Oryctolagus cuniculus: one gene and its partner. The protein of the gene in region 1 binds, or shares a complex with, the protein of each later gene. Links are inferred from orthologs where the notes say so. Each region holds a gene or a part of one and is shown in the gene's direction. Other genes may lie near its edges.

What was found. Proteins that work in one complex are often made in the same cells at the same time.
Region 2: EIF3D (region 1) and EIF3F share a complex: the UniProt entries of both Homo sapiens proteins name them as parts of the eukaryotic translation initiation factor 3 (eIF-3) complex. The link is inferred for Oryctolagus cuniculus from reciprocal best matches to the Homo sapiens genes EIF3D and EIF3F.

The regions. Positions count from the first base shown.
Region 1 is NC_091442.1:113,759,176-113,764,231, reverse strand, and holds part of EIF3D (eukaryotic translation initiation factor 3 subunit D), read left to right. Parts: intron 1-104; coding exon 105-217; intron 218-1,006; coding exon 1,007-1,139; intron 1,140-1,617; coding exon 1,618-1,765; intron 1,766-2,738; coding exon 2,739-2,869; intron 2,870-3,497; coding exon 3,498-3,583; intron 3,584-3,667; coding exon 3,668-3,797; intron 3,798-5,056. UniProt on the Homo sapiens protein: mRNA cap-binding component of the eukaryotic translation initiation factor 3 (eIF-3) complex, a complex required for several steps in the initiation of protein synthesis of a specialized repertoire of mRNAs.
Region 2 is NC_091432.1:58,222,012-58,226,900, reverse strand, and holds part of EIF3F (eukaryotic translation initiation factor 3 subunit F), read left to right. Parts: intron 1-2,753; coding exon 2,754-2,824; intron 2,825-3,036; coding exon 3,037-3,116; intron 3,117-3,550; coding exon 3,551-3,688; intron 3,689-4,889. UniProt on the Homo sapiens protein: Component of the eukaryotic translation initiation factor 3 (eIF-3) complex, which is required for several steps in the initiation of protein synthesis.

The DNA.
Region 1 (5,056 bases):
ACCCAGGTACCCAGAGAGCTTGAGAGCCAGAATGCGCAGCCAGCGCGGGGCTCACTAGCAGCAGCCCTTCAATTCTCCTCTGTCTCGGCTGCTTTCCCGCACAGAAGCCGCGGGACTCCTCGGTGGAGGTGCGCAGCGACTGGGAGGTGAAGGAGGAGATGGACTTCCCTCAGCTGCTGAAGATGCGCTACCTGGAGGTGTCCGAGCCTCAGGACATGTGAGTAGCGCCGGCCTGAGCTGCAGCTTTGAACAAGGAAGAGGGGCGGGGTGGGGGGAGTGGTTACACTTGAGGCTTCCTTCCCCTCCCTGGAACCCCGAGCAGAGGAGATGGAAAGGGGGAAGAGAGAACGCAGGACAAGTCTGCTGGTGCTAGCTCCGGTCTCTGCCAGCTCCCTGGCACCCACAGCGAGGCACGCTGGTCTACAGCGTTCCTCAGAGGCAAGGAGCCGGAGCTAAGTGGGTGGGGACCCGGCGCGGCCGGAGTCAGCACACAGGCGCCTCTGGGACAGCCCAGCCCTGGCCCCGGGCTTCAGGCTTTAAGGAGGCTGGGCGGGCGCCATGGCCAAGCAGGTGGAGGCGTGGCTTTGGGCGCCCCATCCCGTACCCATACTCCTCACTTCCGGTGCAGCTCCTGCTGACGCGCTGGAGAGGCGGCAGGATAGCCCAGGTGCTGAGGTCCTGCACCCATGTGGGAACCCAGGTGGAGTTCCAGGCTCCTGCCTTCTGCCCGGCCCCGCCCTGTGGTTGAGGGCTTTGGGCGCATGAACCGGGGGATGGCAGGCCTGTCACCCTGCCCTTCAAGTAAACCTTTGATGGGGAACAGGTAGCACGAGGAGGCTGGGCGCAGGGGTTGCGTTTGCCCCGCTCTGTGGGGGCAGGGGCAGAGCCCACAGAGAGCACATCCCCCCGTAGAGCTCACTGCTCTCCGTCTCCGTGCCTCAGCCTCTGGGTCAGGCCTCGGCGGGCTTGGCGCCGCCCTTACCCTGTCTGTCCGCCTCTCCCACAGCGAGTGCTGCGGGGCCCTGGAATATTACGACAAGGCCTTCGACCGCATCACCACGCGGAGCGAGAAGCCACTGCGCAGCATCAAGCGCATCTTCCACACGGTCACCACCACGGACGACCCCGTGATCCGCAAGGTCTGCCCCCGCCCCGCCCTCCCCGCTGGGATCACGGCCGAGCCCCGGGGCCGGCTGAGAGCGGCACGTTTGTGTGTGTGGTTGGAACTGTTACGTAAGTCTTGGAGTCAGACTGACGGTTAGATGGGAACAAGGCCAAGGGCGGCCGGGGCGTAGATGAGTGTGGACAGTGCCTGACCCGGATCCCAGCCCTGCCGGGCCGCCTGGATTCAGCTCCGCAGCCTTAGTTTGCTCATCTGTGAAAGGGGTTTAGTGTACGCGGCCGTGCCGTGGGGAGCAGGGCGAGCCACCAGGGACCACTCGCCACAGTCTGCGGGGGCTCAGCCACGGTCCTGGTGACGCTGCTAACGGACGCTCCAGCTGCTAGGCTGCAGCCCTCTCGGGCACCCGGGGAGGCGTAGGGACGAGAAAGGCAGGGGCCGTGCGGCGAGCAGAGGCGGGAGTGGGCAGCTGGACCGGGGGTGTCTCGTCCTTGCAGCTGGCTAAGACCCAGGGGAACGTGTTCGCCACTGACGCCATCCTGGCCACGCTGATGAGCTGCACGCGCTCCGTGTACTCCTGGGACATCGTGGTCCAGAGAGTCGGGTCCAAGCTCTTCTTCGACAAGCGGGACAACTCTGACTTTGGTGAGGGGCTTTTCAAGGCACAGCCCGAAGGCCTGGGGGAGGTGTGGTCACAGTGGGCGTCTCAGGGTGTGCACGGTGTGTGCTGGTCACAGCGGGCCAGCCAACACGTCCCCTTCTGCGGTCTCCCTCTGCTGTGCACCGCTGGGGACTCCTTCTGTCCGGCCGTGAGTCGCTCGCCAAGCCTTGGGTGGCTTTGTTGACGGAGAATAAGCCCCACGTTGGAGAGCCGTAGGAAAGTGTCTGCCTCCCCCAGGTGTGGATGGCACCACACTCTGCTTCCAGACTATGTGCACTTTGTATTTCTGATTAAATGGAAGGCCCCCTGGTTGTTTTTTGCTGCAGTGAGTTTACCAAGGAAACAATACAATATATTTATTTGATGTGTAAATATGGATACACACACAGCCACAATGAAAACCAGGCCACTCAGAAGATAAAAGAGAATAATGGTGGTTGGTTGGTTTGTTTGTTTGTTTGTTTGTTTGTTTTAACAGCCAGTTAGTGAGAAAGAAACAGAGAGAAAGGTCTTCCTTCCGTGGGTTCATCCCCCAAATGGCCGCTACGGCCGGCGCTGCGCCAATCCAAAGCCATGAGCCAGGTACTTCTGGTCTCCCCTGCGGGTGCAGGGCCCAAGCACTTTGGCCATCCTCCACTGCACTCCCGGGCCACAGCAGAGAGCTGGCCTGGAAGAAGAGCAACCGGGACAGACTCCGGCGCCCCAGCCGGGACTAGAGCCCCGGGGTGCTGGCACCTAGCCTAGTGAGCCGGAGCGCAGGCTGGAATAATGGTGCTCTAAGCTTGAAGCCTGAGGCCGTTTCTTTGTTGAAAGGCTGACAGAATCAAGTATTCTGAAGTTACCCAAGTGTGTCACACAGTGGCTGGCTGTCCCATGAAGGGAGGGCCTGTGTCCTGGGACTGTCCACATTGCTGGGGGCTCTTGCCAGGGTGGGTGACCACGCTGCCATTTCCGCAGACCTGCTGACCGTGAGCGAGACAGCCAATGAGCCCCCGCAGGATGAAGGCAACTCCTTCAACTCGCCCCGCAACCTGGCCATGGAAGCGACATACATCAACCACAACTTCTCCCAGCAGTGCCTGAGAATGGTGAGCAGACAGGCGTGAGCTGACGGCAGCTTCGCTGCCACCGATTGCACCTGCTTCAGACTGGGCTCTGGGGTTATGGGATTGTAGGGGACAGGTGTGGTCCGTGCCTGTGGCCGAGGAGTTTTGGACTTGGGCTTTGAAGTCAGACTTTCTGGCTTTGAACCCTGGATTCCTCTACTTAATAGCTAGCTTGTGGCCTTGGCGTGTTTCCTCCCTGTAAAACTATAACACACGAGTTCTTTAACAAGTTTGTGGAAAATGGATTGAAAAGGTGTTTGTTTTGGTGCCAACAAAAATTTGAAAATGATGCATCTTCAACACATTTTCCACGAATGTTTTGAAGACTCCTTTTGTGTGGACTTCAGTTTTTTGCACAGAATAAACTTACCTTTTAATTCCATTCTCCAGACTTGTGAAGTCCCCTCGTTCTAGCACTTGTCTGACAGACATGACACTGCTCTAGGCGGTGGGACCAGCCGAGCCCTCCCTTGGGAGCGGAGCGGAGGGGCGCGGACGCTGGCTAGGAGCCGTGCTGTGGGGGTAGCACGGGACTGGCGCGTCGGAACTCAGTGCCGGCGTCGGGAGGGTGAGGGAACAGCAGGCCTGACGCCTGTCTGGCCTCCTGCAGGGGAAGGAGCGGTACAACTTCCCCAACCCAAACCCGTTCGTGGAGGACGACATGGACAAGAACGAGATCGCCTCCGTTGCGTACCGGTAGGCGCCTCTCGGGGGCGCGAGCTCCTGGCGGGAGGTGGGGCGAGGGCCGGGCCGGGACCCAGCACTGCTCCGTCCTTGCAGCTACCGCAGGTGGAAGCTGGGGGACGACATTGACCTCATCGTGCGCTGTGAGCACGACGGGGTCATGACCGGAGCCAACGGGGAAGTGTCCTTCATCAACATCAAGACCCTCAACGAGTGGGATTCCAGGGTGAGCCCCAGCTGGAGGAGCCGCCTCCTTCCGTCACCTTGACTCTGTCTGGTTTTCGTGCTTTGAGCTTTCCCTCCGCTTAGCGCCTCACTGAGCAGGAGCGTGGGCGTGTAGAACGCACTGCTTCAGCAGCCTCCGCCAAGCAGCAGCCCCCTTCCCCTGGTCTGTCCTCATCCCCGCTCCATCCTGACCCCTGTTGGCGTCCACCGTGTGCGTGTCCGGCTCCCGCCCCGCCTGTCGTCCAGGCCGGTGGTCTCCCTGCAGGCCCAGCCGCCTGTGCTGGACTCGGACGCTCGCTCAGCATCACAGGAAGCTGCTTCCCTCACGTCCTCCCTCGTGCTGGCGCGGTGCTGTTGGGCCGTGGGTGGACTGCGGGGGCGGCAGGGCTCCGGGCTGCTGTGCGGGACGGAGGCCCATCGGCAGGAAGCCCGAAGGCCCAGCTCTGCTGTTAGGTCTTCTATCCACTGCTTCACTCCCCAAATGGCTGCAATGGCTAGACCGATCTGAAGCCAGGAGCTTCTTCCGGGTCTCCCACACGGGTGCGGGGTTCCAGGCACTTGGGCCACCTGCTGCTGCCCTCCCGGGCCAGAGCAGACAGCTGGGTCGGAAGAGGAGCAGCCGGGACTCGAACCGGCGCTCATGGGATACTGGCACTGCAGGCTGAGACTCAGCCTACTACACCACAGCGCCGGCCCCTCTCTTTTTTTCTCATTTTGTTTTTTGTTTTCTGGGGGGTTTATTGGCACAGTTTAGTGGCATTTCTTTTTTTATTTCAGGGTACTCCTTTGTGCAGCCTTGTGTTAGTGCTGCTCTGCTTCATAACAGATGCGCCTCTAGAAAGAGCAGCTCCAGGGCCGGCGCCGCGGCTCACTAGGCTAATCCTCCGCCTTGTGGCGCTGGCACACCGGGTTCTAGTCCCAGTTGGGGCACCGGATTCTGTCCCGGTTGCCCCTCTTCCAGGCCAGCTCTCTGCTGTGGCCCGGGAGTGCAGTGGAGGATGGCCCAAGTGCTTGGGCCCTGCACCCCATGGGAGACCAGGAGAAGCACCTGGCTCCTGCCATTGGATCAGCGCAGTGTGCCGGCTACAGCGGCCATTAGAGGGTGAACCAACGGCAAAAGGAAGACCTTTCTCTCTCTCTCTCTCTCTCTCTCTCTCTCACTGTCCACTCTGCCTGTCAAAAAAAAAAAAAAAGAAAAACCATCAAGAAAACTTAAAAAAAAAAAAAAAAAAAAGCAGCTCCAAGCGATGCCCGGAACTG
Region 2 (4,889 bases), on another chromosome or scaffold:
GAAGGATTCAGTGTGAGGAAAATGAAGGAGAGAGAGGATTTGTGACGAGAAATGAAACTAGCACATTGAGGAGCCATCAGAGGTATTAAATAACTGCAGGGGTCTAACTGCTGTGAAGGGTCGCAGGGAGCTGTGAGAAGGTGGGGGCTTCTTGGGGGAATGTCTTGAGCACTAGGCATTTCAGGTAAGACTGAGAATTAAAGATTATTCTGGCTGCTGGGTAGAGCGTGCGTAAGAGACAGGCTTTGCTGTGCATGGACACCAGGTGATAGAGGTTGTGCTGGTATTAGGGAAACACGGGTAGAGCAGGCAGAAAGGTGTGGGATAGTTGAGAGACAGGAATTAGGACTTGGTGTAACCAGAAGTGAAGAATTAGAGGAAGCGTCAAAGATGACTCCTCGATCTTTGATTAGATGTGGAAGAAGAAACAATGTAGAGATTGCTTTCAGTTTGGCATGTATTTCTTTTGCGATACCCCCTGAGCATTCCAGTGGAGTGTGAGGTAGGTAATTTTAGTATTATGGTCTGGAGTGCAGGATGTGTGGACAGGATGTCAGCTAAGGAATTAATGTCATTGGGTTACAGAGTTGTCATGGGCACCATGAAAACCAGTGAGATCAGCTAAAGCAGGAACTGGCAGACTGTGTAATGGGCCAGCCAGTAAATATTTTTGGCTTTGTGTGTAGTTGTCACAGCTACTCAACTTTGCCTTTATAGCGAGAAAACAGTTGTGCATGATACTTAAGTAACCACACTTGTGAAATTTTTTTTGTAAAGATTTATTTATTTTATTTGAAAGGCAGAGTTACAGAGAGACAGAGGCAGAGAGAGAGAAAGGTTCATTCCCCAAATGGCCACAATGGCTGGAGCTGCGCCAATCCAAAACCAGGAACTTCTTCCTGGTCTCCCATGTTGGGCCATCTTCTACTGCTTTCCCAGGCCATAGCAGGGAGCTGGATTGGAAGTGGAGCAGCCAGGACTTGAACCGGCGCCCATGTGGGATGCTGACACTGCAGGCAGCGGCTTTACCCACTACACCACAGCACCAGCCCCATACATGTAATCTTTTATTCATAAAAACATATCTAGGTCAGAGAAGACTGGTGATGTGGAAACCCATAGAAAAGAAAGTTTTAAAATAGAGGAAGTAGTCAAGTCTTTTGAATGCTGATGAGAAGTCAAATAGATAAAAGATTTAAATCCAGTGAGTTTAGGGACAAAGTTTAAGCTAAGGGAAAAAAAAAACTAAATAATTGGAATTGGACAGACTTTAGTGGATACAGGCAACATTATGATCTGTGGTAGAGCCGAAAGCACTTGAAGCCAGAGCTGGGTGATGCTGGTAGATTAAGAGATGGCAGGGCCAGCATTGTGCAGCAGGTTAAGCCACCACTTATGACACCAGCATCCCATATTGTAGTGCTGGTTCAAGGCCCAGCTACTCTGCTTCCAGACCAGCTCCCAGCCAATTCACCTGGGAAGACCACTGAACATGAGCCAAGTACTAGGTCCTTGCCACCTATGTGCAAGAGCAGGATGGAGTTCCTGGCTCCTGGCTGTGGCCTGGCCCAGCCCTGGCAGTTCAGGCCATTTGAGAAGCGAGGGTCTCTCAAATAAATAAATCTTTAAAAAGAAAGAAGGGAGAGAGGGAGGAAGGGATATAATGGGAGTAAAAGTGTCAGAACTTCAGAACTAAAAGAACAGAAGTTTGTGGTGAGAGACTGACAAGTAGAGAATTTCTGGAGATGGTAGGCTTGAGGCTATGACCACGGACCACATGGCTAAAAGAATGTACAAATCAGTGTGGTGTAGTAGGTTAATCTTCCACCTGCAGCGCTGGCATCCTATATGGGTGCTGGTTCAAGTCCTGGCTCCTCCTCTTCCAAAACAGCTCTCTGTGATGGCCTGAGAAAGCAGTGGAAGACGGTCCAAATCCTTGGGCCCCTGCACCGGCGTGGGAGACCTGGAGGAAGCTCCTGGTTCCTGGCTTCAGATCGGCTTAGCTCTGGCCGTTGCAGCCATTTGGGGAGTGAACCGGCAGATAGAATACCGTTCTCTCTGTCTCTCCCTCTCACTGTCTGTAACTCTACCTCTCAAATAAATAAGGTCTTAAAAAAAGGAATGTACAAATCAAGCTCCCTAAAACTGCTCAGACTAGGCACTGTCTCAGTAGACTGCATTGACTAAAGTTTTCCTGGGGGTAGGCATTTGTTGTAGTGGTTAAGATGTACATCCTGTTATCAGAGTGCCTGGTACTCGCCCCTCCCATGTCTGGATCCAGCTTCCTGCTAATGCACACCCCAGGAAGCAACAGATAATGGCTCAAGTACTTGGGTCCCTATCACCTATGTGAAAAACCCAGATTGAGTTCCAAGCTCCTGACTTTGAAATGGAATGAAAGTAAATCCATACAGGCTTTAGAGACCTTGTTGGTACTTCTGCAGATTCCATTTCATGGAGATGGTCTAGAGTGCATAGAGGTCTGCATAGGGCTGGTAGCGGAAAGTAAGAGGCAAGAAGAAACCTTGGGAAGGAAGGATGAGCCTTATTTGGTGATGGTCAGCCTGAAGAATTGGAGGTCATTGCAGAATCTCAGTTCTCTGGAGAATCCTGGGCCCAATGACGCTGAACTTGGAGCTGCTGAGTTCAGTTTGGTGTTCGGTGACTTAGAGGATACTTCCAAAAGCATCTGAGGAGTCGGAGGCTGTTGGGAGTCCAGGATTATAACCCCTGTCTCGTTCTCTCTCTCACAGGAACTGTTGACAAGCACTCAGTGGAGGTCACCAATTGTTTCTCAGTGCCGCACAACGAGTCAGAAGATGAAGTGAGTGGGGTTTGATCTGTCCTGCAGTGCGTGGCTGTTCACTGGCGAGGCCTCCCTCGATGCCCCTCCCATACAGCCTGTTGTGCTCATAACTGGAGCTCCTACAGCCAAGGGGTCTCTGCCATTCACATACTTTTACCCAAGTTTTGTTTTGTTTTGTTTTTTCTTTGGAGTTCTGGCTTCTTAGCTTGCTTTTCTGCCTTCTCTCTTAGGTGGCTGTTGACATGGAATTTGCTAAGAACATGTATGAATTGCACAAAAAAGTCTCTCCAAATGAACTCATCCTGGGCTGGTAAGTTGGGGATGGGGGTAGGTGGGGAGTCTCTCAGTGACTGCCACGGTCTTTACCACCAGACTAGATCCTGCCCTCCCTTTTTGGAGTCAGAGTATTGAAAGTGTGTTTTTTCAAGGAGCTATGAATTAAGTTTGTTTTGCTGGCAGTTCTGATCTTGTGAGGCCAAGAATATCTATCTTGGATTGTAGCTTTTACTGTGCAAGTTTTATTTTGATGTTGTTGTTTTGCCTTGCAGGTAACTTGCAGTTTTTCAAAAGCACTAAGTCAGCCTTGGGTTGGATTTGACAGTCGTGTATATATTGTCTTTGGCATTTGGTATCACTAGGTGTCACTATGATGGGGGTATCTCCTTAGAGACACCCATGCCACCCTTAGATTTGGTATTGGTGTCACATGCAGACATGAGTCCATACGTCTGTTCCTTTCTGCAGGTACGCTACAGGCCATGACATCACGGAGCACTCCGTGCTGATCCACGAGTACTACAGCCGGGAGGCCCCTAACCCCATTCACCTCACTGTGGATACGAGTCTTCAGAATGGCCGCATGAGCATCAAGGCCTACGTCAGGTGAGCGCAGAATCTCAGGGCGTAAAATGCTCTCTGGTTCCTGCTGTGCCTAGGTGACCGCCCCACCACCACCAGCACCAAGCAGGTTTAATTCCTTCAGTATCTGGCTTATTGCACTCTCAGCACTTAGCATTGGAAAGGTTTTGCTCTGAAACTAGATCTGCCACCATAACCTCCATTCACTGACCCTGCCTACTCCAGGTTTGCTCTTGGCCGGTTTCAGATGGAAGCGGTTCGGTATTTGAGCAAGCTGTCATGTTTCCTGTCGTCTTCTCCAGAGCCTCACTGTCCACACTTCCCATGGCCTCACGTGGTTTCCTTCTCACGATCCTTCCCCACGTCCACTACTCTTCTGAGATGCTTTTTAGTTCTTCTTTATCCCTAGAACTCAGCACAGCATTCAAGGTGGCACAGAGTAGAAGATGGCTATCTTTATTTTTAACACACCTGTAAACTCAGGATTGAATGCAATTTTGGTGACAGTAATAATACAGTCTTAGCATGTTGGGCTCACAGGCACTTAAAATGCCAGCTATTGAAAGGCCCTAGGGCCATGCTGAAGAAGCTGCTGCGGGAGGTGGAAGAATTAAGTCCCCTCGTTAGAGGAAAGGCGCCTCTTACACTGTTTAACTTTTTTTTAATTTTACTTGTTTATTTGAGAAGTAGATTTACAGACAGACGGAGAGACAGAGAAAGGTCTTCCATCCACTGGTTCACTCCCCAAATGGCCACAATAGCCCGAACTGGGCTGATCCAAAGCCAGGAGCCAGGAGCTTCTTCTGAGTCTCCCTCTCGAGTGCAGGGACCCAGGTGCTTGGGCTATCTTCTGCTTTCCCAGGCAATAAACAGGGAGCTGTACTGGAAGAGGAGCAGCTGGGACTAGAACCAGTGCCCATATGAGATGCCGGTGCCGCAGGCAAAGAATTAACCTACTGCACCACAGCGCAAGCCTCTCCACTATTTAACTTTTTGCTGTTTCTGTGTGTTACACTGATGCAGCCAGTATACCATTATGCAGTAGGACAAAGATGGTGGTTGCCAAGTCCTTACATGCCAATTGACAGACAGCTGAGCTGAGTGGGCATTCCATTCGGCTCTAGCCATTGCCTGATTAGCTTTCCAGATATTCCAGTCTCCTCAAGGTCCAGTGGAAAGCGTGGAGTTCACATGGTAAAGGCGACCCCTTTGGAGAGTACATACA